Linked DNA regions of Lepisosteus oculatus. The protein of the gene in region 2 purifies or fractionates together with the protein of the main gene of each other region. This does not show direct contact. Links are inferred from orthologs where the notes say so. Each region holds a gene or a part of one and is shown on either strand. Other genes may lie near its edges.

Region 1 (16,344 bases), on a different chromosome or scaffold from region 2:
CGACAGCAGGCCAGTGGATAATATCAAATAAACTCCGACGTTTGCAATACTGCGCTTCGTTCTCTGTGTTTCATCACCCAGACGGGTTGTTTTGCTCTGGGAAACAGCAGCAGAAGCCGACAGCGGCTGCAGTAGATCCGGGTTTCAGAAAAAAAAAATCATTTTTGTCTGCGTGCTGTTCAAATCGGGCAAGTCACTACATCCGCTCCTTATCCGAAACAGCCCTGGGCTGCCCTTTTTGCTTCTTGCAAAAATCTGGGGGTTGGTTGAACGATGAGAAAATAAATACATCTAAACTGCAGCCTCATCTTAATAAATACTTCCGATTCAACCAGAAAAGCACTTCTTGAGAAATGTGAACGATTCGACACGGTCGCGCTGCAGGGCGAAACCGCAGCCGCGCGCCCGGTGTCCATGGAGACGGGCCGCAACAGGAGCGCGTCTCCCCGCTGAGGAAGAGGATCCCGCTGAGGAAGAGCGCTTGAGCCGCGCCGGGATCACTTAAACCGGTAAGTCTGTAGGGTAGCGACTTCACGTTCAGGCAATGAATGAAAGCGTGGCTGTGCGGCCCTGTCATGGTGCATTAACCGCTCGGGGCTAGCGCCGTGGTCAGCTGGGGAAATAATTAGAGCTGTCGGCTTTTCTCACTGGGAATGGGAGTCACCTATGCTGAAGTGCCCCGTCGGTAACAAAATACGATGCAAAAAGTCCCACTACACTAACGAAATCCGGGGGAGATCAGACTTGCTCCTCGTCGTCACGGTCCGGCAGTAACGCTGGCGCTGCTGCAGGGTTTCCAGTGTGCTCGTCAGCTGCAAAACTGGACAGAATCGCCTCGCTTCTGAAAACAGGAAAATCAGACAAATTCAGAGGCAAACTCGCGGTGACGCTGCGTGGGACTAACTCAGAAGGAAGAGCGAGTTGCGGGAGACCCAGTCGCGATCTCCGTGATAGCAGCTCATACGAAAGTACGATTTATCTATTATTTAGTCATGCATAATGTCGATATATTATTAAGTATTTATGACGGTTATAGGTGTTGTCGGTTATCGTAGCCTGAGGTTAGTAACCGTTGTTTGTCCTCGGAGCCGGATCGGCCTTTTTCCCAGGCGAGTGAGCAGGTTGACTGCGCTGCCGGCACCGTCTCGCCACACTGCTCGTTTAAGTGCAGCGAAGAGCGTGGGAGTTCATTGACGTGTGCTTCTGGGAAGTTACCGCAGTGACTTATTTAGTTAATCGAATTTGCCCAGTAAAGACTATGGAAGCCCGTTTCCGCCAGAGAGTAAAAATAACGCGCTATGGTAAATCAGAATTGCGACTTAGTAACTCAGAACCGCGACTTAGAAACTCAGAATTGCGACTTTATATCTCAGAATTACGACTTTATATCTCACATTTGCGACTTCGAAATATTTCATCGTCTGTCCTTTCGTTATTGTACCGGATTCGGGTTCCAGGGCTTGTGCCCTCGCCGCCCCCACCCTACTTTCTCACTGCATGGGCTTGTATTATGTACCCCTGCCGATGTTATGGATCTTGTCGGTATTGTATTTCCTTCTGTTGCTCAAATCAAGAGTTTAAAAAAAGCAATGCCCTGTTTGTTGCCGGTGATTCCTGTGTCTCCTCCCGAGGGCTGCGGGATGTCGTCGCCATGGCAGCAGCCCGACGCGCCCTCCCTCTGCGCACCGCGCGCCGCGGGCCACGGGGAGGTGTGGCGCGACTGGGACGCCGACGCCACCTTCCGGCAGTACGGCTGGCGCCGCGGCACCGGCGAGGACGCCTACTCCCCCGCCACCCTGGTGGGCAACTGGGCCGAGGAGCGCCGCGACACCCGCGCCCTGGCCCGCCGCCGGCCCCTGCCCTCCCAGGTGGGCCAAGTCTGGGCCTTACCCCCAGGGTGTGTGGCCGTGGGGGCAGGGGGCGCCACCTGGATAGTTTCTGAAAAATGTTGTTTTTAAACACCCGTACAAACCATTTCATTAAAGTTCTTTGTTTTGTAAAAAGAAAAAAGATGTAAAAAGAGAGCTATACCAGGCACGCAGTGTTCTGGACCTGAATACTATTGGCTCAACCCTGTGATTTACCGTCAGCCCTCCAGGCCAAGTTGAGAATTTTGCTCACAATCTTCCAGAGGGAAGAAAGCTCTGAGATGAGCAACCGTGTGACTGACCACTCAAAATATCCACACCTACTGTGGCGAAAGCGTTCTTTTCAGGACTGTCACAGTGCAGCCCAGAAGTCCCCGTGCTCCTCACAGCACAAGGCCCACCCCCCTCCATTCCTGGCACTCAACACACACGCCACAGGAGTTTCTCGGGGGTACCTCCCCCCGGGTTCTCAGGCTGAGCCACATCTCCTCTCTTTTGGCAGTTCGCTCACTATTTTGAGACGACGTATTCCTCCACGTATGACCGAGGCCGACAGCCCCCCCCGCGTGATCCTGGTAAGTTCCTGCTCCCTTCTCTTCAGCACCTGAGACCCCTGCCTGTAACGACCCCTTCTGGTCGCGCCCCTGAGTCTCGTCTCGGCAGCTGAGGCTGATCAGGTCATGGCTGCCTGCTGCGAGACTCAGACTCTTGGGGAAACAGGTGCTGTAGAATGTCTTTGGGGGAATTGCAGAGCCTCCAGAGATCCCCAGGGTGGGCTACGCCATAAGTGTATAGAGTTTCCTGTAGAAATTCAGTAGAATAGAGGTGTGTCCACCTATCCACTATCAGAAAACTCCCAGCATGGGTCACAGAGTGTTCATGAAGCAAGGGCACAAGGCAGGGCTGCAGCCTGGGAAGGGGCACCTGTCCTTCTCAGGTCACTCACACACACATTAAACACACAAAGACAGATACACAGTCACACAAATAGACACGTACACACATGCAGACACAGACAATCACACACACAGTCAAGTACACAAATGCAGACACACACACAGACACGTACACACACACAGACACACATAGACAGATACAGAGCCACACACACAGATAGATACACAGTAACACACACAGATATTCTTACATGCAGACACACACACGGGCTCATACACATTCTCAGTCACACACACACAGACACGTACATGCACTCACACAGATAGTCACACACACAGACACATATACACACGCAGACATGTACACACAGAATACCCAGTCACACAGACAGTCACCCACACAGACACATACACATACACACACACAGTCACACACACAGACACAATTTGGAGGCACTAAGTAATCCAGCTTTAGGGAGAACGTGCAAACTCCACACAGAAGGTGCCCCAGTGCACAGTTGAACCCAGGACCCACTGTGCTGGTGGGTGCAAGTTATGGGGTTTTCATAGTCTTCTGAAAAAGTCAGATGAGCCGACTGATTATTCTAGACAGACAATTAAGAGCTAGACTGACAATCTGAAGACCCTCTGGTGACCTGCCAGGCCTGGAGTCACACCGCCATGTTCCTCAAATGCTGACACAGGTCTCTGCTTTGCAGGTACAAAGAGGGAACCCCGCTGCTTCCCGGGACACCAGCCTGAGCTGGATCCCCTGCACACAAAGCCCGTCCCCGACTCCTGCTACCGGCACGACTTCAGAGACCCAGCCCCACACCTGCAGGCGCAGAGAGGGACGCAGGCAGGGCAGCAGAGTAATAGCTCACAGAGCTCCACCTGCTGGGGGTAAAGTGTGCAGGCTGAGTACAGTGTACCGTATATCCCGACAAACCGCAGATGTGAAAGTGGGACTAAGAGTGTGATAAAGTGAAGAGAAGCAGTTGTGCAATGTTCTTCATGTGTGCAAGTGGACTTGTGGATGGATGGTGTGGCGAAATGGGACCTTGTGGTATAATCGCAGTGAGGTCCAGTGCAGAACAGGTGTGTGTTGGGGAAACTCTGTAGCCACGCCCCCATGAAGTGTTGATGGGCATAGACTTCCTTTTCGTGTCCTCCAATAAGAAGGGTGTTGTCTGCTGCAATGTGTAGTTTAAAAGGGTTAATATAGGTTTTTCTAGCACAAACATTTTTTAATTCAGGGTTCTACGGTCCTGGTGAATTTCTGCCCTGCAGAGTTCATAAGGAGCTATAAACAGCAGGCAGACACCTTGAGTACAAGTTTACATGTAGTGATTCTGCAAGTAACCGGCCTAAATTAAGATATTGGCAACTCCTCTGGAATTAAAATTAGAACATTCTGTGAGTCTCTTCAGCCCCAGGACTGAAGACTGCTGTCCTGAGGCTGCAATATGGAGAAAACATGGGATTCAAACGCAGACAGCAGAAAAAATAAACAACAAAAGAACGAAAGAGCCACCCATGTGGTTGAAACGATTTATTCTTGAACATTTAAGAAACTCAAGTGTTAATTGAGCTCTGGCTGCTCTATATGGGGTCTCAGGAATGAAAGGTTAGGCAGCGACCACGACAAAATAGAAAATGAATAAGCAGGATCTTTTTAAACAACACTGCCCCCTCCCTGTCCACGAACCTGAACCCGACACAGGAGTGCCCGACCGCTGAGCTGAGCCGAGCCGAGCCGAGCCGAGCCGAGCCCACTCACCGGCTGCAGGAAAGAGCAGACAGCACAGACACTGCAGGGCTGTCGGACAACAGACTACAACTGAGCCCCTGCAAGGGATAAGTTGTGCACTTCTTTACATCACTGGAAGATATGCTGTTGTTCCCATCTGGTTTCCTTTCTGCTTCTACTTTTCCAGATTTTGTGGGCCCATTCTACAATAAAAGTTTTGATATCATGTTCTTGTCTCATTGGCTGTTTTCTGCCTCAAGTGGCCTTGTTTTAAGTGCCTTCTGTGTCCCAGTCACCAATACACGCAGCTGCGACACCTCTGTGTATACCTTGTGGTTATCACAGAGTGCATCTGGGCCAGTGTCCAAACCAGAGGCCTGGCTTCTACTGGGAAAACACCCACTTCCCTCTTGACCACTGCCATGTGAGCAGCGTCAAAACACACTGAAGGCAGGTGCGTTACACTTACAGCAAAGTGCTTTAATATATACAGGGAGGCATTAAAAATGCATCAAATGAGTTTTGGAATCAATAGTGTTTTGTTGCACTTTAAATGCTTTTCAGTATATACAAAAACAAGAGAATTTTATCAGAGAACCTGTCATTAACTCCTCTGTGAAGTCAGACTACTTATTCAGTCACTCCTTTGGTCTTTTTCAAGTCTGTAAGTAAAAAATTCAGCAACCATTTTCCAGACAACTGCTGCGGTAAACCTAATGCCTCAGCCTTTGAGCTGGGTGGAGCGGGGATTTTCCTGAAGCCGATACCTGCGTTCTTGACTGGGATTTGCCAACACCCCTGCAGTGTAACTGCCCTTCAGGTACAAGGTACCTGACTGTACAAGAACACAGGATCTGGTTCACACTCTCAGAGAGGCAATGGTCCCCACAGCTCCAGCTACAAACTGCTCTGGAGCGCTCCTGTGCTCTGTCACGGGGCTCGCTTCTGCACATAAACCCTGCCCACTTAAGGGCATGGCGTTTCTACACGCACAAGTTCCCTAAGATTGTCCTACTTCCTTGAACTGTTTTTGTGTCTTTGAGGCACGATCAGTAGCTGACTTCACAGAGGCTCGTCTGTCACTCTGTGGACCTTTTCCCCCTTCCTCAAGGGACTGACTGGTCCAGCTGCACCAGGGCCCTGCACTCAGTGTGCCTTTGTCTGCTCCTTCCCTTGCTCATTCAGCTGTTCTGCAGCGTGTTTGATTTTACTCAGCAAGCTAGGAGGACAGAGGCCCTGATGTAGCAGCGAATTCCATGAGCCCACCCTTTCTGAGTAATGGAGGATGAGTGGGGTCCTATCCCCTGCCTGTAAATGCAGGGGGGGGCTCTCTTCACTTCCCGTGGCTCAGCGGGTGCCGGGGTCGAGGAAGACGGGGCGGTGGTGGTGGGGTGGCAGTGGCGAGGAGCCAGGGAGGGCGAAGGGGCGGGGGAGAAGGAAGTCTACTTCTTCTGCGGCGCAGCCCCAGCGGGCTTGTCGTCGCGGGTGATGGGGATGGTGCGCTCGGCCACTTCGGACAGGTTGCGCGTGGCGCTGATCGTCAGCACGCCATCGGCGGACAGCGAGGAGGTGATGGAGCCCGGCTCGACCCCTCCTGGGATCCTGTACTTCCTGTGGAACTCCCGAGACACATAGCCGTGCTCATCCTGCCGAAGGGAAAGACACAAGGCACGCTGGAGGGCAGGCTGGACCCCGGGAGACTGCAGGAGGGGAGCAGAGAAAGAGAGAGTGGAGAGGGGAGGGCCAGGGAGACAGGGCAGGAGCCGGGAGGAGGCAGGAGAAAAGGGGGATGGAGAGGCAGGGAGGGAGGGTGTTCCCCTACCTGGCGGTCCTCGTGCTTCCCACGGATCTCGATGAAGTCGCCGTTGACCTTGACGGACAGCTCCTCGGGGGAGAAGTGCTTGACGTCCAGGTGGATTGCGAACCTGTCCTTGTCCAGACGCATCTGCCGGCCAGGAGGAAGCAGGGTCAGCACACAAAAACACACCTGTGCAGCCTGGGCTGCTCACATGCACACAGGTCAGCATCCCCGTCACAGGGCAGGGCATTGAGCCATCAGGTGTGCCTCATTATTAAACAGAAGGATTCATACAGGTATCTGTTTCTTTCTCTTAGAGCCACAAGCTGACAAAGCGCCTCTTAAGTGTGACCAATTCCAGCTTTAGCAGGTTAATTCCAAGAGGTATTTTAGGGCTGGTTTTCTAGGCGGCTGAAGGTTACAGACGAGCGCTCTGCAGTCTGAAAGAGCAGCTCTGACCCTGGGAGTCAGCTGAGTGGGGGAGTGGGCAGTTTGCACTGCGCTCTGAGATTCCTCCCATGGGTCACATTGTGACACCTCGCAGCGAACACAGAGGGCATGGTGCTGGGCTGAGCTGGCTGCAGGCAGCGGGAAGCAATTCTAAACATTCAGAGGCCAACATGTGCACGCGCCCGCCGACGGACTTAAAGGAACAGCTCACATCATCTGTGCTGTACTGGTTTCATGTCCGAACTGTTGGAGTCACTTTCTTTGTCGAGTGAGTGTTTCATCAAACTACAGGGTTTTTTGTCTTAAACTAACAGGGCTCAGGTATTTGAGCTGGTGATCGTTTTATGAGGAATAAAGTTTTAACATGCTACCAAGAAAATGTTGCCACAGTAGGGAGGGACTCGCGTGACACAGAGGGAACCTCATCACGGGATCCCCAGGAATCGGAGCAGGTCAGGACACTGAGCCCCAGGACTCATGTGTGAGAGAGCCAGAGACACCCCACCGTTTCCTCCCTGACTTCAGTGCCCACGTCAACGCCAGCACCCAGCCCCCCACAGCAGAGCAGCAGCTCCTGTTTCACTGCGCTTGATCCTAGTGCTGGTGACGCTGTGGATACGACGTCTCAATATCTGCTGCGCTCTTCCCTGCTGTCACATTCCTGGCCATCCTGCTCTCACAGACAAAAACACCCCCTTCCAAGCCTTTTCTCTCCCACCTCAAGGATTTCAAGCCTTGGTCTCCATATCCCACAAGCCCTTGGTCTCAATATGTCATACGTGCAACGGTTTAGTTTAGTAAAGACTTAGCAAAATATTAAGGTTTTCACAGCTAGTTTTGAAAACATTCCTCTGTAGGAAAGAAGCTATAGGTCCTGCAGCAAACCTGTGAAAAGTCAGAGATTGTCTCTTTTGTCTTCTGGAGAATTCTGGAGCTTTGGCTCTGGAAGGTTAGTCGACGGTCAACCCGCAACAGGCCCGGCCCTCACCTCTGACAGGCCGCCGTCCATCCAGCTGGCACCGCGGAAGGAGGCCCGGGGCCAGTACATCAGGGGGAAGGGGGCGAGCAGCTCGCTCTCTGGGATGTGCTCCCCGAAGTTCTGCTCAAAGATCCGGACGGGGAACAACGAGGAGAAGAGGGGGCGGCGAAACCAGGGGCGCTGGATGGCGATGTCCATGCTGGCTGGGCTGGGCGCACTCTGTGCCTGCTGCTGCCGTGCCGCTCCTGCTGTGCCTCTGGCCCTCAGCTCACTTATATAGCCGCCCCACCAGCCTGTGCCAGCCTGCCACCCTCCTCTTGAACTTTCTGGAACGGTGATGTAAACCGTCTCCCCCGCTCGCCCTCTCCCCCTGCAAGTGCCAGTCCGTGTGTGTTTACGTGATTACTGGCAGTCCGATTTCATTCAGGCAAGCGGCCCTGCGATTGTTCTGGGGGATTTTAAATAGTGCTGATGCCCCCGTGCGCGCAGCGCTGGAAAGTCTCCTTTTGTGCTGGTGCGCGGTTTTCTGTGTGTGCCTGCACGGCCAGCGCCAGGACCCGGCTCGTCTGTCAGACGGGTTTCGGTTTTTGGCGCGCACTCCTCGGGCTTGGCCTCTCTTCCTCCGGCTGCCCCGCGTGCCGGTGGGATTATTTCCGCCGCGCTCCGGTGCCCCTCTCCCCCGCCTGCCCTGACTCCTGTTTGTCCAGGGAGGCTCCAGGCCGGATCAAAGGCTCTGGTGGGTGTGTTTGCCCAGGCGCAGGCAGGGCACCCTGTGTGCAGAGTCAAGCCCCGGGATAAACCACCCCTGGCAGCCCAGCGCAGGCTGCCTCTGCTCCAGGACACAGCACCAGCCTTTGCAGGTCCTTCATTCATTTATTTAGTCAGCTTCTCCACTCAAGATGTCCTTTATGTGTGCAGGTATTAAACTCTCTATCAAAGCTGTTCTTCACAGTATGGTGATGAGTGCTTTTCACAGCTACCTCTCATACTTGAGAAATTCTACAACAGCAAATTTGCGAGACATTTCTGATCTTCCCTATAGAGTACGTGCCTGTGGATATGCTTTGATAAGCACCACCTAATGCTGCACAGTAGCTGTACTGTACTTCACTACTCTGTACTGTCACCACAGTCAACCACAATGCACTTTTATTAGGGCATCAATGGAGGGTAAGAGGATCTACTAGCGGGTGGCACTGTGGCCTCACAGATCTCGAGTCGGGTTTGTGTCCAACTTTAGGGAATCAGTCTGTGTGGAGTCTGCATGCCCCCCCGTGCTTGAGCTTGATTGGCTACTTTAAATTGTTTCGTCCCTGGTTCCCATGAAGAAGGGAACTAAGCACCTCTATTCCATTCTGAACCCCCTGCTCAGATTTTGGACAATATTTCGGCCAATACTTATGTTAACACCTCTCTGGATGTGTAGACTGGACAGTAGGCCACTTCAGCCCGCAACAGCTGCTAACAGCAGTAGCAGCCATCAGCAGAGCAGCAATAACAACACTGTAGAGCTCTGTGGAGTTCTGGAGACCTGCAGGGGCCTGTTGACGGATCACCAAACACTCAGCTCCCAGAATGCTGGACTGTTAGCATCCCCTGGTGTGTCAGTCAGAGCCACAATCACTGTAAGAGCCCCGCCACATTATTCTAGGAAAGGCAAACAGAATTCAAAATGAACAAAAAAGCACTCGGGACTTCCTTCACCTGGGACCTGCTGTAGTCAAGAGAATTATCATCCAACCATGAAAGAAGTGGGATTTGACCTGATCATTGTCGCTATTGTTAACGTGCCTACACCTGGTGACATCATTTAGTCACTGAGTCTGACACCCCTGCACTTCTAAGGCCTTCTCCTTCAGAAGATACGAGCTGCTGTGATACTGTACACATTCACTAGCCTCCTAGAGCTTCCTGGACCTGACAGAACTCTTGCCTAGACCCCTGGACACCCTGTAGTGCCCAAAATAAGTACACTCCATCACCAGGAGGGGCCCCAGCACTGACATCACACTTGATATGTACAGGAACCACAGAAGACAGGAGTGCAGCCCTGGGCAGGTCAATACTCACAACAGGTATGATACACATAAAGAAATATTGCACAGTTCATATCATATGCATATGAGAAAGACACAGCTTTCACTTTGAACTTTTCATGTAAATGAATCACGCAGAGGCAAACTGCTGCTGTCGTGACTTTGCTCCGCTGTGCACAAAAGGCGTCGCCCCCCCGCCCTCACCCAGAGAAACATCAGAAGAGCAGCCTGTTAATCAGCCGCTCGACTTCCCCCCTGCCCCAGGGCGATGCCAGACTTGGCAAGGCCTGGGGCAGAGCTCAATAGCCGTCTTGTAAACAGGGCAGAGACAGGCGGTGTCGGCTGGAGACAGGCTGGAGTTCGGCGTCCTCTCGGACGTCCGCGGCAGTGTGGGGCTCCACCCGCGGACCCCGCAGGGTCAGCTAGGTGATATATAATATCCTCTGAGAGCTGTGGGCTTATTCTTAGGTCCAGGAATGGGGGGAGATGTATTTCCTTACACTTTCTCTACCGGGAGGGTTCAGCTTTTCATTCCACTCGCAACCTTGTCGTTCGAAGGGCCGTATTCAGCAGAGTGCTGACAGTACCAGGCTGGTAACATCATCACAGTTCCCACAGCTCCACACAAAGCCAGGTCCCACTGTGGCCTGCAGTGCTTCTCCCAGTCGTGACGTACTGCAGTAAGTGCAAAATTATTCCACGCATTTCTAATCCTTCAAATAAATCGTCCCAGGCTGCTCTTGGTGAGATGTAATATCCCGTCTCGGAATCGCAGACAAGAGCCCTGCCAGCCGGTCTGTCCAGGCAGGACTGGCCTGTCCCTGTGGGCCATTTTAAACTGATCCATCAGAGATCCCAGTGGCGTATTTGTCTCTGGATTTATTTGTAGTTATGATGTCTCCTTTGGAGTGTCTGTGACCGGGCTATTTCTGGCCTCTTTATCAGCCCCATGCAAACACAGGCACACAGTCACTCTCTCTCTCCCCGACTCTCTCTGCAGACCCTGCCAGTCGTTTCCGCGAGGAACTGAGCCGCCGTGCCCTCGCAGCTCGCTGGGATGTCGGAGCGCACCGTTCCTCACGCGTACCCCATGAGTGTGGAGTACGAGATGGCGTCTCCCTGCCGCATCTACGACCAGAACTTCGGGGAAGGTAAGGCCTCCCGCTGTGCTGGGCTCGTGATCGTGCGTCGGGTCGGCGTGTGTGCGGTGGAACCATGGAACTGCACAAGTCAACAGCGCCCTGTCCTGGTGGAACTGGACGCTTTTCTTCAGAGTGAAAGAAGGAACACAGAGGGGCTATTAAACAGCTGGGCACACAGAGGGGCTTCACAACAGCTGGGCACACAGAGGGGCTTCACAACCTTTTCTGTTCCTGCACAAAACTTAAATCTCCATCCATTCTGAGCAAAAACAAATTCACCAAGAACCGACCCACAAGAAGAAGGAACACAAATGATCTGATCTAGCGCGCTGGTCTGTGGTCACTGGGCTCTGGGTTCAAATCTGCAGTCGCTGATGGTCTGGGTTCAAGTCCACAAAGTGCGGAAGCAGGGCAGTGCGGTGGCTCTGTGGCTGAGGAGCTGTGCCTGTGGCTGGAAGGTTGCTGGTTCGAATCCTGTGACCAGTGGAGGAATCCTACTCCGTTGGGCCCCCGAGCGAGGCCCTTAACCCCAACTGCTCTAGGGGTGCTGTATAAATGGCTGTGCTCCGACCCCAAGCTTCTCTCCCTGTCTGTGTGTCTCATGGAGAGCAAGCTGGAGTATGCGAAAAGACAAATTCCTAATACAAAAAACTGTATAGGGTGAAAAAAGTGATCTTATCTTAAACATTTTACTAAATGACTGTAGCTTGTATGAGGCTATTAAATTGGATTAGATTCTTGCCAAAAGCTTAAAAAGCTCTTAAAACTGTACCAGGGTATTGAAGGCCTGTATGTGGGCATGATAGATAACTGGACATTACTTGAAAGTTGCATGTGATGAGGTAAGGATGCAGGCAGGCAGGCTCACGGGCTCCGAGTCTCAGTCGGATTGCCCCTTGGAGCTGGCGAGGTGCTGACGTGAGAGGGAAGTGACAGATCGACCTGCCCCTGACCTCTCCTGCTGTCGGGGGCCCAGGCAGAGCTGTCACGGACATCGCCCTCCCATGAGCCGCACCAGCCTCGTTCCTCAAGAGGCCGAAGAGGCATGTGTGCAGAGCACCCCCTGGTGGTAGAAGCTGTGAACTTCGGCTTGTCTCTCGCCTAACTTCCTTTAGACTCTTGGAGAGAGTTTCCCTTTGTTTTGGCCTCCTGCTCTGTGGCAGCGGAGCATGAAGGAGTAAAAGGCTGAGAGGGAAATAAAAACAGACGTCTGGCGGCGGAGGGGAATTCCCCGGCCCAGCCCGAAAATAAACTGCCCTCCTACAACCCTGGAGGTCTTGGGAACAGAGCAGCCAGCCTGGCAGCACATTGACACCCCTATCAAAAGACACGCAGGGCTGCCTTTGTTCAGCCTGTTTCTCGCCGGCGAATCCAGACTCCAGAGGAGGAGTAGAAGCTGAGGGATCGCGCTGGTCACCCCAGGGTCAGCCGGATTGAAACCCTGGCTTGACAGGGGCCTCACCTGCTCCCCGCGACCGACCCATCCCCCCAAAGACAGGGGCTTGCATCTGCCCCAGTGTGGGTCTCAGGTTCCGAACCCGTCCTCTGCGGGGGACGAGGAAGTCTCGTCGTGCCAAAGGGAATGGAATTTGTGAGAAATGTATTGACTGTATTAAAATAACATATTAAAATCAATACATTAAGTGCACACCATGACTTTCCTTTGTAATGGCTCTGAAGCAGGCCTGCAAAATAGCATCAGAGCCTTTGTGCTTGGCAGGTGGTTTACTCTGGTAAAAGAGACATGTCCCTGACCAGTGTCGTCTGTGAACGTTTAGAAAAAGGATCTGCTACAAGCGAAGAGACATTGTACACAGCCTTACAGAGGCGCATTGCCAGCGTCCTGACTCTGTTATTACACAAATAATTGCACATACACCATACTCAATTGTAAATCCTTTATTACGAGAATGATTTTTTCTTGTTTATTGCCAACAAACAGTGTGCAACATGGCAGCAGCTATGTCACCCTGCAGCTCCCAGCTCCCAGCTCCCAGGTTGAGCCTGGCCTGCCGAAGCTGCTCTCTCTCGCCCCCAGGCCTGTCGCCTCAGGACGTCCTGGCCCCCACCCTGTACCACGGCTACTACATCCGCCCGCGGCTCAACAAGCAGCTGGAGCGGGGCTTCTCGCAGGTGGACAGCGGCGACGACTGGTTCCGCGTGCTGCTGGACGTGTGCCAGTTCACGCCGGACGAGATCGCGGTCCGCACCGTGGACAACCTGCTGGAGGTGAGCGGTCAACACGCCCAGCGGCTGGACCAGCACGGCTTCGTCAGCCGCCAGTTCAGCCGCACCTACATCCTGCCGCTGGGCGTCGACCCGCTCCTGGTGCAGGTCACCCTCTCCCACGACGGCGTCCTGTGCGCCGAGGCGCCCCGGAAGGCTGCGGATGTCAAGCCCACCGTCCGCGAGCTCCAAGTCCGAGTGGAGGGCGGGGAGAAGCAGCACAAGGAGGCGGGGAAGAGCACGTGAACCCCTCCCACACTGGCAGGGCTGGGCGGGGCTGGGCGGGGCTGGGGAGGGGCTGGGGAGGGGCTGGGCGGGGCTGGGCGGGGCTGGGGAGGGGCTAGGTGAGGCTGGGTGTGCCTGGGGCGGGGTTGAGTGTGGTTGGGGAGGGGCTAGGCGAGGCTGGGTGTGGCTGGGGCCGGGTTGGGGTGTGGTAGGGCGGGGTAGGTGTGGTTGGGGCAGGGCTATGCGAGGCTGGGTGTGGCTGGGGCAGGGCTGGAGAACCTGCAGTCCTGCTGGAGGCCTGGGGTGTTGGCAAGCCTGCTGATATTTCTAGGATGTCTAATCACTCAAGCTGTGCATCATGTTCTTTGAAAGGAGGCGTGTGTTTTATTTCCTGATGAGCAGACTCCAGTGTGGGTGTGTAATAGCCCTCAGGGCTGTGTTGTGTCCTGGATAGGAAAGCATGCCTGAGAAGTTGGCAGCGGATGTTGTATTATTGCATTACATTAATAAATCTATTATTCTTACAAAATGACAACAGGAAACTCTTATTTGTCAATAGGAAGAACCACTTGTTATGCATGAATGTGTTTGACTAGTTAATAGGGTAATCTTTATAGTACCCTTCACCAGTTAAAGACATGTATTTCCCTCCATCAAAAAATAAACTCAGCTGTGAAGTGGAAATAATGACTGGGCAGCTGCTGAAAAAAGCCTCTCATCTCCTGGTCTGAATCACTATCCACTGATCAGACCAGACTCACTGCCCACTGATCAGACCAGACTCACTGCCCACTGATCAGACCAGACTCACTGCCCACTGATCAGACCAGACTCACTGCCCACTGATCAGACCAGACTCACTGTCCACTGATCTGGCCTCATGTGCACCTGCAGAAATGTAGTGCTCCTCTGAGCCACACTAGCAGGGGCTCATTCAGAGTACTGTGTAAACTGTGGTCACAGCATTACAAAAAAGAACACTCCTGCTCTGGAATCAATCACATACATTTGTAGGCTGAAGGGAATGTTTTACAATGGCAGGCCAAAAATTAACATTTTTTAAATCTTTAAACACAGAAGACTATGAGTGGAAGCAGATTTAGGCGATTATCCAAGTTTTTACTAGAATTTTCAACAACTTCATACCTACCAATGCCCAGGTGTGTCTGATTCAACACCCCCCTGCCATTACGCCATATTCAGCTACCATCTTGGCTCAAGGCTATACCATGGTCTGAGCCAAGATGGTGGCTTCCCCATAGGGAGTTCACTATGAGAAAGGCACAGTGTGAAAAAGACAGTGCCTTATGAGTGTGTGGAAAAGGCTCTTAGTCTTTCATATCTCCAGCAGTGACATAAACGCACCCAAAGTGGAAACACATCCGAGGAGGAGAACAACAGCCAACAGAGAAGGAAGGAGAAGTCTCAGACCACTGTGTATTGTTGCTGTGTGGAAACTGCGCTCCTTGGACCAAATTCTGTGCACTCTGCAGACTATCCCTAAGCAGGCAACTCAGCCTGGCGAAGACAGGAAAAGAAGAGAAGCTGATTCGACCTTTTTGATTTGACCTTTAGGTGCTGGGGTAGCTGATTTATATAGAAAGACCAGGAAGAATCCAGCCAAGACATTTACTGTAGTCTGACCGTGTCATAACAGTGTTTTGGCCTTGTGCACATACCCTACAGCTGAGCAGGCTGGGAGAGAGAGAGAGAGGTCTTCTCTGACCCTGAGGAAAAACGGGCTGTTCATAAGTCACTCATTAGCCTAAGAGAGAAAAAAAAAACTTTTCGTGAGAAAAAACAAGACCTAACTGGGAAAGTAGCTGTTTTTATTCACAAGTTCCCAAAATAACTTCCCACCCAACTGAAGATTTAAAAAACGCCACTGTGGTCGGTTCTTATTTTGCTTTTTTTTTTCAGGGTATCATTAAACAACAGCCTTCTGTTTCGATAAACACTAATGTCATGTCGCCAGGGGGTGATTTCGGTGTGGTATTTAAAAAGACTTCACGGCTTTAGTGCTGTGCTTATCTTGACCGCAGGGGGGCGCTGTTAGCATGCCAGAGCGCTGCACCTGTGCGGGAATGTGTCGTGACTTTCAAGAACTGGGAACAAGGAAACGGAATAACTCCGACCTCTTTTGAGTCAGACCTTAAAAAGCATGAATTGTTATGGGAAACCGTATTACCAAAGGAGTGGATAAGTAAGTTTCACGTTTTAACTCTCTTTTTTCCCGACTGTTTTTTTTTTGGAGGAGAGTTTTGGCACCTGCTAGGTGTTGTGTGAGAAACCTGCGTCGCCCTTTTCAACCAACAAACCGGGGCTGTTCCGCCGTGTTTCTCTCAGCGCTGCTTGTTGACACAGCTGTTGTTTCCGAGAGCCGTGTTGGTTTCCTGGATACATCTTTTTTACTTACATTAAACACATGGTAAAGTAAAAATAACAACAACAACAAAAAACGTCGGGCTGAGAATTAGAAGCGTAGTTGTAAAACAAAACGCGACGAACGTTTTGAGTTTCTTCGTGAGTACCGAGAAGCTCCGTGGTGCGGGAGTGGTCGTAACTCCTAGCGCTGACCTGAAGTCGGCGATGCTCGACGGCGCTCTGGGGGTGAACTAGCTGTGTGTGACTACAGGCCAGTAGCCCAGTTAAACAGAGTCGACGGAGTTAAGCAGCTCCCTTCGCGTGTGCGTTTCGGTGGTGGGAGCTGGGTGTTGTTACACGGGCCCGCAGAAGAAGCCCTTTCTCGCAGTGAATCTCATTCTTCCCAGCGACGCTGTGATATTCTGCTCTTGGCTGGACCTCCCCACCTGTCGGCCGGGCCGATCAGAACAGGTACCAGAAGAGCTCTCTTACCGTCCCTGTAACATGTCGGTGATCCAGACAGCCTGCAGCCGGATGTGAATGCTGAACAATTTCATCGTCCGTCGTCAATCTGTTTTGGATAACTCTGGACTACCGATTGATTCAATGA
Region 2 (16,371 bases):
CAGCTTGGAAACGATTAATTCACTTGAAAACACAAGTTTATTTCAATCCTTAGTGGTACACAAGGAAATGTTCACGGGATAATGCATTCTTAGGAGCTGCCTGAGGTATTGTATGACTAGCAAAAAAGTTCTATGGTCTTCAGTGGGTCCCCATTATTTAACAATCTGCACCCCCTCCCAAAATCAAATCATTTTATTCCTATTTAACAGCATTTGTGCCTCAAATCTATAAATGAATGCTCAACTGGTTCTCCCCCCTAGCTGATGCTGTGACTGTCATTTGCCAAATGGTCAATGACACTGTCAAGTGGTTTTTAATCCTCCTCGTCATTTACTACAAACACACTTAACAACTGTGAGAGGCTAATGAATCCCCTAGCTGTCAGGGCCTGTGCTGCTTAATTTAAATGTTTTTTTCTCCACCCTCTTGATAAACAGTTGTATAAGTCTATGCAATGATGAAGAAGGGTGATCTAGACTTTAAGTATTCAATTTCAGTCAAAGATCAGAGTTCCTATAACTGAACAAAGAATTTGCTGATCTTTAATGCACAAGGTGTCCGAGTAACGGAAACAAGTGAGTCAGGGCGACATAAAATCAATGAACTGTGGTTCTCCAGTTGGATTCTCCTAGTTTAGGCATTCATTCTCACAACTATTAAAAATGACATTAAACAGGTGACTTACTAAAGAATTTCACAAAAAGCCATTAAAAAAATTGAAATCCCATTTCTTCAGTACAACAATAAATACATCAGGGAAAATACAGTTCCTTGGTCAGCATGGAAACGATGCAAGGAATCTGCTTTTTTGCATCGAAGCCTGGAATGTTTGAGATGGACTCGAAATCCAGCGCCACCCTGTGGTTCACTCTAGTCATGATCTGCATGAGCTCCAGCTCTCTGCCGTACTTTGTCAGCATGTGACACAGGGACTGGATGAACCAGGAGCCATTCATTGTGTTCCTCCATGAATAGTAACCTTCAAAGACAAAGAAACAATGGCACTCCCTTATAATACACATACACAGGTAAGACACACAAGTAGTTGCAGTATATACACACACTACATAGGGAGAAATCAGCCTGAATGCTATGCACGCGTATACTGTAGATAACATGTAGGTACAGTATATAAATGACACTGATACACTTAAATATAAGTTCAGGTGAGTAGCTGCGTCAGCATGCGTAGGCTGCAAAGGAACAAGTAATAGGTTTATTCCATACTGAAAAGAAGAAAGAAAACAACATTTTGGCCGTGGAGCCTGAAACGTTGCGTTTTCTTTCTTCTCTTTTCAGCACGGAATAAACCTCTCACTTGAATATAAGACTTAAACTGACCATCTCAAACGATATAAAAGACACTTTTCACTTATTGTTATTACAGTACTACTCTGAAACATCACCCATTATCAAGTTGCAGCACTGAATTAAGTCTTCGGTCTGTACTTTCTGCTTTGTAACAGGCCGAGCGTTTAGGCCTGTGGTTATGTCAGGGAACCTGGACTGATAAGGTTCTAGACAAATCGAATGTAAACTGACCAGCAGCGCAAACCTGTTAATGTGGTTAAGAAACAGGTTCTGCAGGACAGAGACCCTTTGGCCCATTTCAGCAGAGCGACAGCACTGCACTCTTGATTAGGAGCCGCAGTGGCTCTTCAGCAGTGCTTCGTTAAATGCTATTCTGTACAGCCCATCCCAAACCTTGACAGGTGTCTTTAAGCGATCCGTCACAAGTGATTATTAACGACTGCCCCCTTGTGCAACAGGGCTCACAGCAAGACAGCCCCCTTCACGCCCCGACAGTGCGGATCTCTGCCGTGGAGGGAGAGGCCGTGTTTTGGCCAAGAGGAGTTTGCCGGTGTGTGAGGAGCGGCGCCGTGTCTGCACCGCGCCTAAAAGAGACCGTGATCAGAGCAGGAAGTGTACCTGGGGCTGTGGAGTACGCATACAGGAAGTCAGCCTCCACGGGGAGCTTCTCTGAGCTGTTATCATCACCAAGGGCATCCGTTTCAATGCCCCCATCCAGGCTGGTACCTCTGCAGGCCTGACAACAGCAACACAACGCAGAACAGACCAACCATTACACTTCATCTTCAGCCTCTGGCTGCACAAGTACGTCCATTTCCTTCTGCAGTGCTGCAGGCCAAGGTATTCGACAGCAGTCCTGTTGATTCATGTAGCCAGCAGCCACGTCACCCTGCAACTCCCAGCTGGCAGCCCACTGAAGCTCAGCAGGTGTGAGCCTGGTCAGTATCCTTGGTGGGAGACCTCCTGGGAAAAGCTAAAAACTGCTGCTGGAAGTGGTGTTAGTGGGCCCAGCAGGGGGCGCTCACCCTGCGGTCTGTATGGGTCCCACATAGTGACTCCCACAGGAATAAGTGGTTTTCTGATAAAAGATAACTTCCATGGAATTCATTTGCCTGTGGACTGGTATTCATTAGGGGAACATTGGCCCTGGTGTGAGAGTGTGCATGTCTGTCTGTTTACCCCCCTTGTAATTTGCATAAACAAAATAATCCGCCCATTCATCCATTTTCCTACTCCTTCTTCCAGTACAGGGCCACAGGGCAGACGGAGCCTAAACCAGCAAATAGGGCGTGCAAGTCTGGATACTCCCTGCACTGGACACTGGTCAATCACAGGGCGGACAGACACACAGACACGCACACTCTCACACCAGGGCCAATGTTCCCATAAGCAAGTAACCTACCAGAATGTTTTTCGGACTGTGGGAGGAAACCAGAGCACCCCGAGGAAACTCATGTGAACACACGGAAAGAGCACACTAACTCTCTGCAGACGGCACCCCAGGTCTGGCACTTAACTATTGACTATGTCGACTATGAAATAATATACAAGCCCAGAAACTGCAATTTGCAATTCTAAATTAAAAAAGAAACAACTACATAACGTTACCTATTACAGACTCTTCTGCAGAAGAAAGGGGTGAAGAACGCAACTTAAATATCAACCCCTCAAGTGATCAGCATTCGTCTCTGTGGTTTGCTTAGGTAGCAGCTTTGTGGAGATCTATGCTGTGGAGAGAGTGCAACAAACACTCTCTACCTACCCGGTAAGCACAAACCGATCAAAACATCATTTCGCTGGAGGGCTTTCAAAACCGCTGCCCGTGTCCACCTCCCGTTAGGAAACGGTTCAGGGCAGCGTAACTCGCTCAGGACAGACGAAGAGAGATACTGAGTCTACCCCCCCTCCCCGGACCATTTCCACAGGGACAGATTAGGCAGCACGGTCAAGAAACGGAGCGCAAGGCTCGAGCCCGCTTCGATTCAGCGCAGACTTCATCCAACACGAGCCGCGTCTTAGGTAGGTAGGTAGGTAGGTAGGAAGAAGAAGAAGAGAACGAAACTCGGCGGTGTTGCGGGTGCAGCCGCCGGGCCCCGGGCCGGGCCCCCTGTACCTGGATGAAGAACAGCTTGGGCTTGCCCACCAGCGTCCTGCAGCGGTCCCCCCGGAAGTAGCCCGCCAGCTTCTTGATCTCCAGGCAGCCGTCCGTCCCGAACAGCACGCCCTCGTCACCGTGGCTCAGCAGCACGCACACGAAGGAGGCCGCCTTGCTGTGGTCCTCCCTGGAGACTGCAGCCGCGGAGAGACGGCGGGGTGAGAGCGCGGCCACCGGCCCGGCCCGAGAAACTCCCTCGGCCCGCCGCACGGGCCTTTAACCCCTGCTTCTATCCCACCACGAGCCTGAGAACGGGCCCCCCCGGGGGGCTTCACAGTGGGAGAAGCTCTGAACCCCGTTTTCCCGCGCCACCCCGCCCGGCCGAGAGCAGCGCTCCGAGACAGAAGCTCGGCTGGGGGAGATCTCCCAGTTACCTTGCCTCTCTCCTCCCAGACTGCTCACCTGCACTAAACCTGAACACGGTCCGGAAACGAAAGCGACTGCGTGGGACTAAACAGAGCTGGGGCTGCTTGCAGTTCAGTGACTGAACGCTGCTGGGAAGAGAGGAAGAAAAAGAGCTGCAAGCCTGATGAGCACAGCCGTGGCTGTTACGTGCACTGCGCTGGGAAGCGGCGAGGTCAGCACTCACTCGACTGCAGGCACGTCTCCATCTGTGCACAAGTCTGGTCATTGACAACCCTGACGCTGTATCCCAGCATTTTAAACACCTTCATCATATTCCCAGCATCCACGTCCGTTCCATTGCGGATATTCATTCCTGTAAAGAAATAAAGCAAGGCAAGCTGTTACAGCGATTCCACTATACAAGTGGGTCGGCCCGTACCACAACCCAATATCAAGAGACAAGACATTTACAATTCATGTCAGAACAAGCTTAACAAAAATTCATTCACTGTATGTAGAAAGGGATCCCACACCACGCAAGATTGAAATGTACTGAATGATAACACTTCCAACTGCATAAGACTGTAAGGAATCTACCTGAATCTACCTTCAACTGATCAGAGTGACACAGAAACGAATCTGAGCCAGAGAACGCAAGTGGAAACTAGGGAGCTGGCCATTTCAATCTGAGAACAGGAAGAGCTTCTTTACACAACGGACTGGGGGGGTCTGGCACAAGGGTCCCAACTGCGGCGTTGAAGCCAACATCCTGGGTCCTTCCAAGAAACAGCAGGAAAAGATTCCCTCTCTTATGAAACAAAAGTCACTCAAGTGCACCGCACACAATCTCGAATAACTAATGTCCTCTTCCTGAGAACACATGCAAACATTCTGAGTCTGGTTATATATTTATTCATCAGTCCGGAGCGGCGAAGTGGATACTATGGGCGAGATATAATAAGCACCCAAACCCAAGGAACCTGCAAAGATCCCTGCACAAAATTTAACTTCACTTCCTTGAGTTTAACTCATATTTCCATTCAAATATCCAAAAGCTTTTATTCTATTTCAAAATAAATACCTTAAAAACACTGTGCAGCTGGAAAACAAAGCTTAGTAATACAGCTCAAAATGAAGAAAAACAGTGTTTGGACATGCTTACGATAAACATGCCTCTATTTTAACAGCACAGAAATCTGCAGTGCTCCATAAAACCATCCACTTGTAGCATCACCCTTCGTAGCAAACCTCTTGTTTGCTCTCGTTCAAATGAACAATGCTGAATTGTAATTTCTCAGCAGAAAGAAAACACAAACCCCATGCAGTTGTTACCTGTCTTTTTATCAAAGTTCTTGTTGTTAATGATGATGCATTGGCCAAGGTGTGGGTAGTTCATTTTATATCTGTACGTGTGGGAGTCATGTTGCTTGGCGTCCACCTGCTTAGGTGGAACTGCGGGACCCTGGCTGGAGAAAGCATGAATCCATCGTTAATGACTCGCACAAAGGATTCTTTCAGTCAGCGTTTACGTCCTGCTAGCAAACACCGCATACGTCCACCCCAAATTACATTCATAATGACGGCATTCAAATTCATAACATTGAAAAAAGTAAATTCACCGGAACGCCACACACAGGAGAGCCGATATAGAACTTCACAGCAGCAGCAGCTCGGACATGAAAAACGTAGACATACCAATAACTTCCTTTACATTCGCTGTTAGTTCCTATGAGCAGATCTTATTTTTTAGAAAGAGTGCAGCGTCTTAAAACAGAAACCTCCGCATAGAGAGGGTTCTAGAAAAGACACCAGGGACCTTTTCACCATCAACACTGGACCCAGAGCCAAAAGGACCAGTCGGCCGCACAGCCTGGATACGTTCTGGGGCTTAAAGCAGTGTCCCGCACTGACCAGGCGGAGGGAACGGGAACTCTGTATGTCTGAACGGTGAAGAGCACTACGTGGGGACCCGACACAAGGCTTCAGAATCGACCTCAGAATGAACAGTGAAGCCCCAGCCCAGAGGACACCAGTGGAAACTACAGTACAGGAAAGGGCATTTAAACGCAAGAACAGGAGGAGCTTCTTCACTCAAAGGACCTGGGGGAATAGGACATGGAGTTATTGAAGCCAATTCCCTGGTGGATGAGATCCTGAGATCAATAAACTACCAACGACCCAACGGTAGTCTGGCCTGAAAGACCGCCTCTCATTTTGTGCACTTTCTGCACTTTGTGTTTTTGTGCTTTCAGAGACTTTCTGTGAGTAAGAATTCCATCGTACCAGTACATGTACCAGTTACATATGGCGATTAAGTTCAAGTTCATTTATAAGTGTCCTTATGTTCCTCTTTTCTTTCTTAGAGATACCAAGAAAAGAAGTGTTTTGTTATCTGCGAGCTGATTTTGCTTTGAAATACATGATATGGTTTTTATTTTCAGTGTACAATAACATTAATCTCCTGCATGTCTAATGGAACAGGATTCCATATGGCCAAAAATACATTCGACATGATACAATTTCGAGAATCTATCTGCTACTATGGTGTGGGGGGTATGTGTGTCACACATGGAGATAAACACAGATCGGCCTAACTCAAATTAAATGAAGTCATTTCCATCTAAAAAAAACAAACAAACTCTCTCGTTGAAGAGAACTGACCACATCCAGGTATCAATGCAGAGAGATATTGTTTCTTGATTCAACAAGTCTTCGACGTTCAAACACAAAAGAAACTGAAAGCACGCAGCCTATAATACGAACGTTATTTAATAATCTCTCTTCAAAGAACACCGAACTACATAAATAACTCGCGTATAAGGGTCTCTTCACACGTGACAAGAGTCGTGACAGTACTGTTCAAAGGGCACCCGGTGTTTCACGCAGCGCAACGGCTTTGCAGACTGGACGGAAGAAAGTCTTACTGGGGGGCACTGGCCGGCTTGGCGTCCACAGCATCTCCTCCGGCGCCTCGAACGGGTTCCGTCGCCTCAGACATCGTCCCTAGACCGAGGGAAACAAGCGGACCACAAAGCTCACCTGGGGCTCCGCTCAGTCACTGGTTTCGCCAGTGGCAGCTCACACACAGACACACATACATACTGTACAGACACACACACGCATGCATGCATACACATACACATACACATACACATACACATACGCCTGCCTGCCTGCCTGCCTGCCTGCCTGCCTGCCTGCCTGCCTGCCTGCCTGCTCTGTGTTGCTAACCGCCTGCTCGGCCAATAGCAGCCCGCGCTGCCAAGGGCCGGGCTCGATGACGTCATCGCCTGTCAAGAGCAGGCTGGAGCCCGTAACTCCCTCGAGCCCGCGAGGCGATGACCTCACACACGCCGGCCGGCGGACAAAAGAACCCCCTCCACCCACCCTCCAGGAGTTTTAAAAATTTACACAGCCTGATGAAATACGAAGAAATATCACCCCCCCCATTAGTTTGTGTACTACTGCAGGGATCCTAACTGTTTTGGCTTTAAGACAAAAAAGGATGAATTTATGAACAGTATAACTGTATAGTAGTTCAGGTGGGCAGCTGCGTCAGCATGCGTAGGCTGCAAAGGAACAAGTAATAGGTTTATTCCATGCTGAAAAAAAAGAAGAAAGAGAACACAACGTTTCGGCCGTGGAGCCTTCTTCAGGTGTAAGGAAGAAGGCTCACACCAAGAGAGGGCTCCACAGCTGAAACGTTGTGTTTTCTTTCTTCTCTTTTCAGCATGGAATAAACCTATTACTTGTTCCTTAACTGTACAGTATAATGCTAGATGCAATGTAGGCATTATGGCCTGGTTTACTGTCACACATTACTGGGCCTGTTCATGGTCGGGTTGAGCTGGGGGAAAAGAAGCCCCGTTTTCCAGCAAAATATCACAATTAAGGAAGGATGATACTGTAATGTCCCAGAGGGGTTCCAACAGAAATTCATGAGGAACCGGGGCACACACAAACGTTTTCCATGGCCTCGTCATTTCACACATGACAACAAATTGGTATTTCCCTCAAAACTTTAAAAAAAAACCCAGAGAAAAAAAAATTAGACTCAAAGTTAAACGAAAAAGAAATAATATAATTACAACTTTGTGATGTCAAATCCTGCTTTTCTAAAAAAAGATGTTAAAATCCAAGGGAATTTTTATATTTGTGTGGGACAAGAAGGAAAACGTACATTTCCACCAGGAAAGGATTTTGAAGACAATTCTTAGAATTCAACAGAAGGATGCACATTTATTCGTTTATGTTTGCTTTTGTTTGAATTATTTGGGCATCTTGACAATTAAGCAAAAGCATTAGACATTAGTTTAATAGGCAGAGGTAGGTATTGCCCTTGAGGTAGAATTACATCGCACCGTGACTCATTGAAATTTGAGTGCCTACAGCAGGGATGTCCAGCCTGGACTCGGGAGGGTTTATATAGTATGTGTAGAAGCACCTGAAGAACTCTGATCAGCTTGATTGATTGATCCGATCTAGCCAAATCATTCTAATAATATACTGATATTTTCTCTGTGAAAAGCTGTGCTGGAATTAAAACCTACTTGACACACCAGCCGTGGCATAGCTTAGTCAGCAGCAAGGTAGTGCAAAACAGTCATCTTCCTATTCAAACACTGACTCCTCTAAAAGCTCACTTCAAGTTTAAACATCCTGCCAGAACAAAACGTTACTTGCAAATCTGAAGAATTCTTTTTATTTCCAAAGTTTGTCCCCTGATGAACACAGTGTTTTTGAACACGAGCAAGATATCCCCTTCGATGGAGGAATTATTATTTAAAAAAAAACAAGTTCAGGAAGTGAGCGATATGTTCGAGGAAAACCTAAAACTTACAGGAAACATTGTACCCACCCACGAGTGAATCAAGTGCTTTAAAACAGCCACATCAAAACACAGTGGAAACGTCAAATAATTCAAAATCACGGCTTTATCTTTCTACTTGGTAAGCCAGTTTATTTTTTTCTCGTTTTGACAGATGTGCAATTAAAGCAAGAGGCGTCCGGCTGTTTGTCTGTGGTCTGTATATTCTTTAATACAAATCAAATATTGCAATCTTGAACGTGAGGGAGATTTTTTTTTTTTAAAAAAAGGACCGAAATACCCTTTAAATGCTCCGGTTAGGAAAGACCAAACGTCCACTGAATGACACTGACCAAACAAGTCAATACCAGCTGTTAGCAGCTCATTCTCGACATGAAATACCTGTGCAATTTCAAGCCCAAGTCTGCCGATATAATAACAGCTTCATGGCAGAGACTCCGTCTATATCTTGACAAGTTTGTAAACAACAGTTGAATATTTTCACCGTCCACATCCAGGCGACTCGAACTCGTGTTTTGGTATGAAACAAAATAATCGATCACTTTTCCGAAGACCTTTTTTTTTTCCGGTAACGAAAGAAACTTGTATCACAAGTGCATATGGTTTTACATCAAAACTCGGGACGACGAGGGAATGAATATAACTTAAACTGACACGGGGTGGTTGTTAATAATAATAATAAAAACAAATAATAAAAATACGAACCACAATTTCCAGCTAGTAATAAGCAAAATAAAGAAAGACTTACGTTTGCGGCTCTCTGCTCCACACTGCTCTTGTCAAAAACTTAAATCTTCTGCGGGTTCACTTTCTTTTTTTTTCCCCGTTTCAAAGGTTGGGTCGCAGTTTGAATATCTGTTTTTTTTTTTATATGGCTCACAACACCTCCCCGCTTTTTGAAACGGGCCGTGAAACTAACACACACACACATACAACAACAAAAGACCGCAAAGGAGAAGGACCGCCCTACAAGCACCGTCGAGTTTTTGTTTCTTTTGTGTAGTTTTAAGAGCCACGATGTGGTGGTATTGAGCTCCACCCTTCGCGTTTTTTTTTACGTAAAATTTTTTAAAAAAACCGACATATAAAAACGAATTAAAAAAAAAAACTACATCTCCCAGCCGCCGGGCCACGAAACGGAAACTGTGCAAAAGGGCGGCAACTTTAAGGAAAAGGAGACACAAACATTGCAGGCAGCGTCTGTGGGTTAATTTGTTACCCAGAGAGAGTTTGCAGTGTGTTATTATTATTATTAATAATAATAGCCGAAATTAAAAAAAAAACTTGGGCCCTCGGTAAGTACAGTATGTGTGTATTTACTATACCTTTCTGTGAACGCACATACGAGACGTGACGAGGAGACCTAATATTTATATATAAAATGATATAATTGATATAAATGTAAAGGAAAAATGATCGTCAGACGCTTGATATCTTCTTATGATGAGGTCTAGATAAACCTTAAAGTCGGGTGTCGTCTTTTCGGGGTGTTTTATATTCTTGTATCGGTCCCTTTGCATTTGACAGTGTATTTAGCCAACTTGTTTGAATTGCTTAATTGGACATTATTTATTCTTCAAGCAAGAATTGTAAGGCTTCCGTTTTTTAAATAATGCCTCTTCAGAGCTCAATAGGCGGACAGGAGTTTACAGTGCGACCCAGCCTAACTGTGAGCTGTCGTCCATCTTCAAAACATCTTCAAAACGTAAAAGGAGGCACGCCTGCGTTTCATCTGTCTTGCCGTTTTCTTCCAGGTCAAGGTGACCTGTGCTGTTAATCCAGGTCAGTGTAACTATCTGTGAAGTGTTTGTGTTTATATACTATGGGAGTGGTGGAAATCATTCATTTTTTTTCTCCTCCCTGTGGGGAAAAAAAAATATTTCTATGACCAGTATTAGTTACCCGGCGTCCTTGTCAAATTTCCCATTGGCGTTTACTCCTCATGGCCTCCTAATAACCTCCCTCTCTGAACTGGCTCCCTCACTCTGCTCTCCTCCCCACTGAGAGCTGGGGTGTGGGGAGCGGACTGGCGCCTCATCCAGGTGGGGCTGCACACTGCTGGGGGTGGAGGGGATCCCCATGACCTGGGGAAGAGGGCAGATGGAGGAGTTTATCACCCAGGTTGATGTGCTGCGCGGGAGCTGATCGTCTCCTGTTCTCGGCCGCTCTCCAGGGTGTCTCCCCGGCGCCGCCCTGCTGGTGAGGGATGATCAGGCAGGAGTGGGGCGAAAGGGTGAGGAGGGTGGCGTGCCGGGCCGAGTGGTACCAGCACTGGCCCCTGTCCTCGCCGTACAAGCCCAGGCTGTCCAGGCCCTGGCAGCCGTCTACTCTGTGGCGGGTTTTCCCCCGCCAGGGCCTGGCCTTCGCTTTCGCCAAGAGCCGCGCGGAGGTGAGGGGCCGGGGTCGGCGGGGCCGTTTCGTCTGGGGGGGGGAGTCGGAGCGCGATCTGCTGTGAAACAGGGCGTGAAGCTTCCGTGTGCTTCTGCCCCCCGAAGGGTGTCCACGTGTTCGCGCTGGAGAACGGCCCCACCGAGGCCGGGCAGAGGATCTACCTGGTGACCACGTATGCCGAGCTCTGGCACTACTACAGGTGAGTCCCGTGACGGGAGAGGGGGGGGGCGTCCGGTCTGGGGAGCCCGCGTAGCTGCTGTGGGATAACTGCTCCAGGCACGGCGGGGAATGAAGCCAGGGTGGCGACTTCATCAGCGCGACGGGCTGGCGTGTTGCCGACTGCCCCATCCCTCTGTGTAAACTGGCGGCTCCTTCTCCGAGTTCTGGATGTCCTTCCGCGTACTTCCCGCTGGTGTCCTGCGCTCTTTGTTTCACTGATGGCGGAGAAGTAGTCGTATAACCAGACGCCTAATTGTACACCTGTGACGATCTGGACCTTGCTCAGATATGAATACAACTTTGAGGGCAATATGATCAAGTCCCGAAAAAACAAAGATGCCTAATTATTATTCCCTTAAAACAGTCATGATGCTGGTAAAAAAAATTCTCTACACTGTTTTCAAGAGCAGTCTTTGTTAGCCACATACAGTAGATCGAAGTTCTAATATTTTGTGAAGCGGCCTACTTTTATTTCATGTACTGTATCTAGTGTGTGAATATATAGCAAATAAATTCAAGGGACTACAACTTATTGTTCAAAAGCTTTCATGTCACATTACACACTCAGAGCTGTTTGCACAAATTGGTCTGCTGCCAGCACAGCGTGTTTTGGTTTTCACCCCAGGACTTACAGGCGGTCTCTAATGCACTGCTATGAGGTCATCCCCGAAGGTGCAGTGTGCAAGCTGTACTTCGATTTGGAGTTCCACAGGCCCTCGAACGAAGGTCGGGATGGAAAACAGATGGTGGCGTTTTTTATTCAGGTATGGAGCCAGCGGTCTTCACGGCGTAGGAGCAGCACAGACGTATTACAGGTCCAGTTCACAAAAGGTTTCTTAATTCAGAGTGTGTGAGCGAAAGTTACAGCGTTTCATTATCCTCTTATGTTTCTAACCGAGGAGAGAAGGGTCTGAAACCCTTGCGCTGAGCTGTGCAGAGTCACTTCACTAGGGCTGTAGTGTATGCAAATGGTGTGGAAAGACAGGAAGACAGGGTAATAAGATGCCCACGGTACTCTGGCAGCTATGAGGAGTGCCTGATTTTCATGCATGTTTGTGAAGTCAAAAAGCCCCATTGAGATGAAGTCCTTGCGGGAAGCTGCAGCAGCAGTGGCAAGAGAAGACACCCCAGGGCTTTGGCTGCGGGCTCCCGGACCCTGGATGTGAGCATGTCCCAGACAAGACCTTCTTTGCACTGATTTTAAACTGATCTGTGGTTTATCTTGTGTCCTAGTATGTATGTCTGAAATTGGAAGAGGAATATGGAATTAAAATCTCCAGGGATGATGTTCTGAATTTGGATTCCAGCACAGAAGAAAAGTTCAGTCGACATCTAATATTCCTTGTTCCGAATGCAGCTTTTAAAGACAATATACACGTTGGTATGTATTTAGATAATTTCTGGTGATTTGTTTGTATTGCAGCCTCAGATAATTAATGACCAAATACCCTGTTAACTTGGCTTATAATTCTGTGAAAATGTAATGCAAAATCGCCTCAAGTTTTGGGTCACACCTGTAAAGAATTGTAGCGCTGTGTGAACTTCTAAAAAAACAAGACAAGCCCAGCTTACACCATTATTCTGCTAATTCTCTGGTGTCGTGTGTCTGCCTGTCTCATTAGGTCTTTAGATCACTTAACTCCTTTTTTTTTTTTTTTTTAGTTTTTGAATTATAAAGCAGTGTGACGTTTCTCGGTGTGATATTACGTTCTTACTGGTCTCATTTTCCACTTGAAGGCCATTTTGTCCACAAGGTGTTAAAGCCAGCGCTGGAGGAGCTGAGAAGGAGAAGACACCGTCTGGTGACAGAAACCCACCTGGAGAGCAATGGACAGCCTGCAAGCAGCCAATCCCCTCTTCCGTCTTTTGGACCTGGGCAGGAACCGGAGGCTGAGAGGCTGAGGAATCCATATCCCAAGAGACAGAGAACCGGGGAGGGTCCAACCTCCCCATCTCCTCAGGCTGGGGGCCTGCTGTTTCTCTTCGTGAAAGACAGAGATGGACAGGATCAGCTCTTTGTTGATGTCGGTATGAATAACATTGTTCGGCTTCCGTTTGCAAACACCGACGGCTTTTTCTGGGTCTTACACGCGGCGCTCTGAAGTATCTATCAGTTTACAGACTGTGACTGCCTTATGAATTGCATACCCCTCACTTTGAAGAGTTACTCATCTATTGCTGTCCTCCTTCCCTGTTAGGAGTGTACACAAAGAACAGAAATTTCCGCCTGTACAAATCTTCCAAAGCTGGGAAGAACGTTGCCTTCAGTGTAGCGGAGGACAACACATTTGTCCCCAGGCCTCAGAAGCACCTGTCTCACGAAGAACAAATATTTCTCGCCTCCCTCGTCAGCAATGTTCGGTACTGCTCTTCGTAATTCTTTGGTGAAATCAAAGACACTTGCATCCAGTTGGGTTACAAATGAGAGGAAGTCATTTATCCCATTCAGTCCCAGTCAGGCAGTGGTTTCTAGTAGCTTACTGATCCAAGGATCTCCTTCGGCTGCTTTCTTGAAAGTTCCCAGGGAATCGGCTTTAATCCTGGCTGTTCAGTCAGAAATCATTAGGGATTTCTGACCATTCTTTTTAAGTGTGCCACAAGATTTTGTGTGTCACAGAGTGAAAGGATATGTTTTGTTTGTAAAGTTTTTGAAAAGCGTACAAAATAGTTTGTAGGCAACTCTAATCCCAGTGTCATTCAAAATGTGATGTCAGGTTTCACAATGGTGTAGCTACTGGCCAAGCTAAAAGAATAAACTAGTTCTTTCAGAAGTCTGCTTACATATATGAAATATATGAAAATGACTTTAAAGTAGAAAACAATAAAAGGTTCAGTCTGATTTTATTGGAAGATGGGATATACAGTATTAGTATGTAACTTTGTTTTATTGTCTCTACACTAGGTTCTCAGATGGTCTGATTATTCTAACTTGTGATGTTCCCGAGGCTACAAAAACAAAGTGCATTCATACAGCAGTTCCCAAATCAGGTAATGTGTCTTAGTCTGGAGGACTTGAAATTAATGTTTAGAAATGGAAATAATAATAATAATAATAATAATTGCTTACACTTATATAGCGCTTTTCTGGACACTCCACTCAAAGCGCTTTACAGGTAATGGGGACTCCCCTCCACCACCACCAATGTGCAGCATCCACCTGGATGATGCGACGGCAGCCATAGTGCGCCAGAACGCTCACCACACATCAGCTATCAGTGGGAAGGAGAGCAGAGTAATGTAGCCAATTCATAGAAGGGGATTATTAGGAGGCCATGATTAGTAAGGGCCAATTGGAAATTTGGCCAGGACACCGGGGTTACACCCCTACTCTTTTCGAGAAGCGCCCTGGGATTTTTAATGACCACAAAGACCACAAATGTGATGGCATTATTTATATTTTCATTTAACCATGTAACATACTAATGTAGGTACAAAATGGTACCAAAGTAATTGTTTAAAGATGTTTTTAAAACTGTAAACATACAGAAATTTAGTGTTTTCATTGATTTGAACTTGAATTCTTTCTTATCTGAATTATTTCTTTTAATTTGTTTGTAGGGTCTGTTGGTGGATGTCAGTATTCTCCTTACATAGAAGTGGACAACTTTGTGCTCTCTCTGGTGAACAAAGATGGCATTGAAGGCAGTAAGGCCTCTTTATCCTTTAAACACTCACACTGCAATGGGTGTAAGGAGATCAAGACCTGAGATAGTGTTGTCTTGTTTTTGCTCCTGAACAGCCATACGGCAGTGGAATTACTTTTCCTCTGAGGAACTTCTGGTTTATGACATCTCCAAGTATCGCTGGTGCCAAAATGTAGGCAGGTTCCATAAAAGCAACAATATCATGTAAGTGGTACCTCTGTTGTTTTTCTTCAACCATTTACATTTCTGTTTCTGAAGGGGTCTGTAGCACACTTCTGCATGCAATATACAGAAAGGGGAGGCCATTCACCCTGCTGTGCTCCACTGAGTTCCATGTCTCTGTATCCTGTAGTTAATACTGGCTGTACTGTGAGCATGGAAGCATTCTACCCCTCTACACCAGCAAGGAACAACTTTCAAATTTGACTAAAAACCTTTAGGAAATGGAAAACATCCACAATGCAACAGTCTGTGCCGCAGGGAGACTTCTGAGCGATACAGCCTCTGGCTTCAGAAGGACTTGACAAAAATCACCCCCCCCCACCATGCATATTTACATCAGACGCCAACACGCACGCTTACGAAGAAACTACTGCAAGCGCCCGTGTGTAGCTTTGAATCGGAAATGAAAAAACACCGCCCGGATATCGGGTTTCACTGCTCGTCTCTGAAGAGGGTTTCACTGGATGGCGGATCAGAGAGGCCGCGGTCGGTTTGGAGAGGAAACCGTTCCGAAGGATGTTGTGCGTCTCTAGGTTAATGCATCCAAATCTGGTCTCCCTTCCAGGATCCTGGTGGATCTGAAGGAGGAGGTCTGGTATCAGAAGTGCCACGACCCTGTGTGCAGGAGTGAGAATTACAGATCTCCAAGTAGGTTCCCACGAGCAGAGGCTCCTCTACGGCCCCCGCGCTGTCTGTTCCAGATGTGATTTTTATTGCTGTCTCTCCCACAGGTTTGCCCTTGCCCCGTGAGGTGTGTCTCGGCTACCTCGTGAAGGAGGTCAGTAAATGGTGAAAACGTTCTCCCTTCCCGCTTGCACTGTTAATGATTGCTCTCGTGTTGAATTCAACCTCGCCGGCGTTGTTCACTTTGGCATGAAGTGAGTGCCTGCTCATTATCCCACCGTTAGTTTTTGGCCTCGCATAGTGTCCGCGCATAATAAACGTGTCCTGAGTGTTTACATTTTCATTGGCACAGTGTGCGCCATAATGGCGGCTGATAAGATGGCAATGTTGGGCTGCAGTGATTTTTACAGTTGGTGTAATAGTGGAATACTTTCCTTGCCTGAAGAGGCGCAGACAGGATGAAGTTAGGTTATTTAACCTCTCATTAATTTAGCTGAATTGGAAATTCCAGCTCGATTTCCAGAACAGTTTCCATTTTTATTTCCTTTAAAACACACCTTGTAATCCAGAGTGCTTACTGGGTGTGGTGGCAACTCCCTTTAGCCCAGAATCTCCAAATCAACGCTTCAGT

The links.
Region 1: the proteins of caspase-3-like (region 2) and cryabb purify together in Homo sapiens (affinity purification with western blotting; 3 studies listed by BioGRID). This does not show direct contact. The link is inferred for Lepisosteus oculatus from reciprocal best matches to the Homo sapiens genes CASP3 and CRYAB.

Annotation. Positions count from the first base shown.
Region 1 is NC_090718.1:15,354,543-15,370,886, reverse strand, and holds cryabb (crystallin, alpha B, b), read right to left. Parts: upstream 8,097-16,344; 5' UTR 7,940-8,096; coding exon 7,751-7,939; intron 6,460-7,750; coding exon 6,337-6,459; intron 6,161-6,336; coding exon 5,957-6,160; 3' UTR 4,510-5,956; coding exon of another isoform or gene 4,488-4,509; 3' UTR 4,302-4,487; downstream 1-4,301. Other genes in the region: cfap68 (cilia- and flagella-associated protein 68), read left to right, coding at 1,641-1,897, 2,371-2,443, 3,484-3,667, 4,488-4,504; hspb2 (heat shock protein beta-2), read left to right, coding at 10,835-10,928, 12,958-13,391; uncharacterized protein, read left to right, coding at 15,542-15,573. UniProt on the Homo sapiens protein: May contribute to the transparency and refractive index of the lens. Has chaperone-like activity, preventing aggregation of various proteins under a wide range of stress conditions.
Region 2 is NC_090696.1:75,468,202-75,484,572, forward strand, and holds caspase-3-like, read right to left. Parts: upstream 9,604-16,371; 5' UTR 9,389-9,603; intron 8,762-9,388; exon of another isoform or gene 8,480-8,761; intron 6,816-8,479; 5' UTR 6,811-6,815; coding exon 6,737-6,810; intron 5,279-6,736; coding exon 5,145-5,278; intron 4,186-5,144; coding exon 4,057-4,185; intron 3,602-4,056; coding exon 3,426-3,601; intron 2,049-3,425; coding exon 1,931-2,048; intron 981-1,930; coding exon 754-980; 3' UTR 19-753; downstream 1-18. Other genes in the region: primpol (DNA-directed primase/polymerase protein), read left to right, coding at 10,847-11,029, 11,136-11,230, 11,876-12,065, 12,484-12,631, 12,988-13,278, 13,449-13,611, 14,153-14,238, 14,809-14,895 and 3 more. UniProt on the Homo sapiens protein: Thiol protease that acts as a major effector caspase involved in the execution phase of apoptosis. Following cleavage and activation by initiator caspases (CASP8, CASP9 and/or CASP10), mediates execution of apoptosis by catalyzing cleavage of many proteins.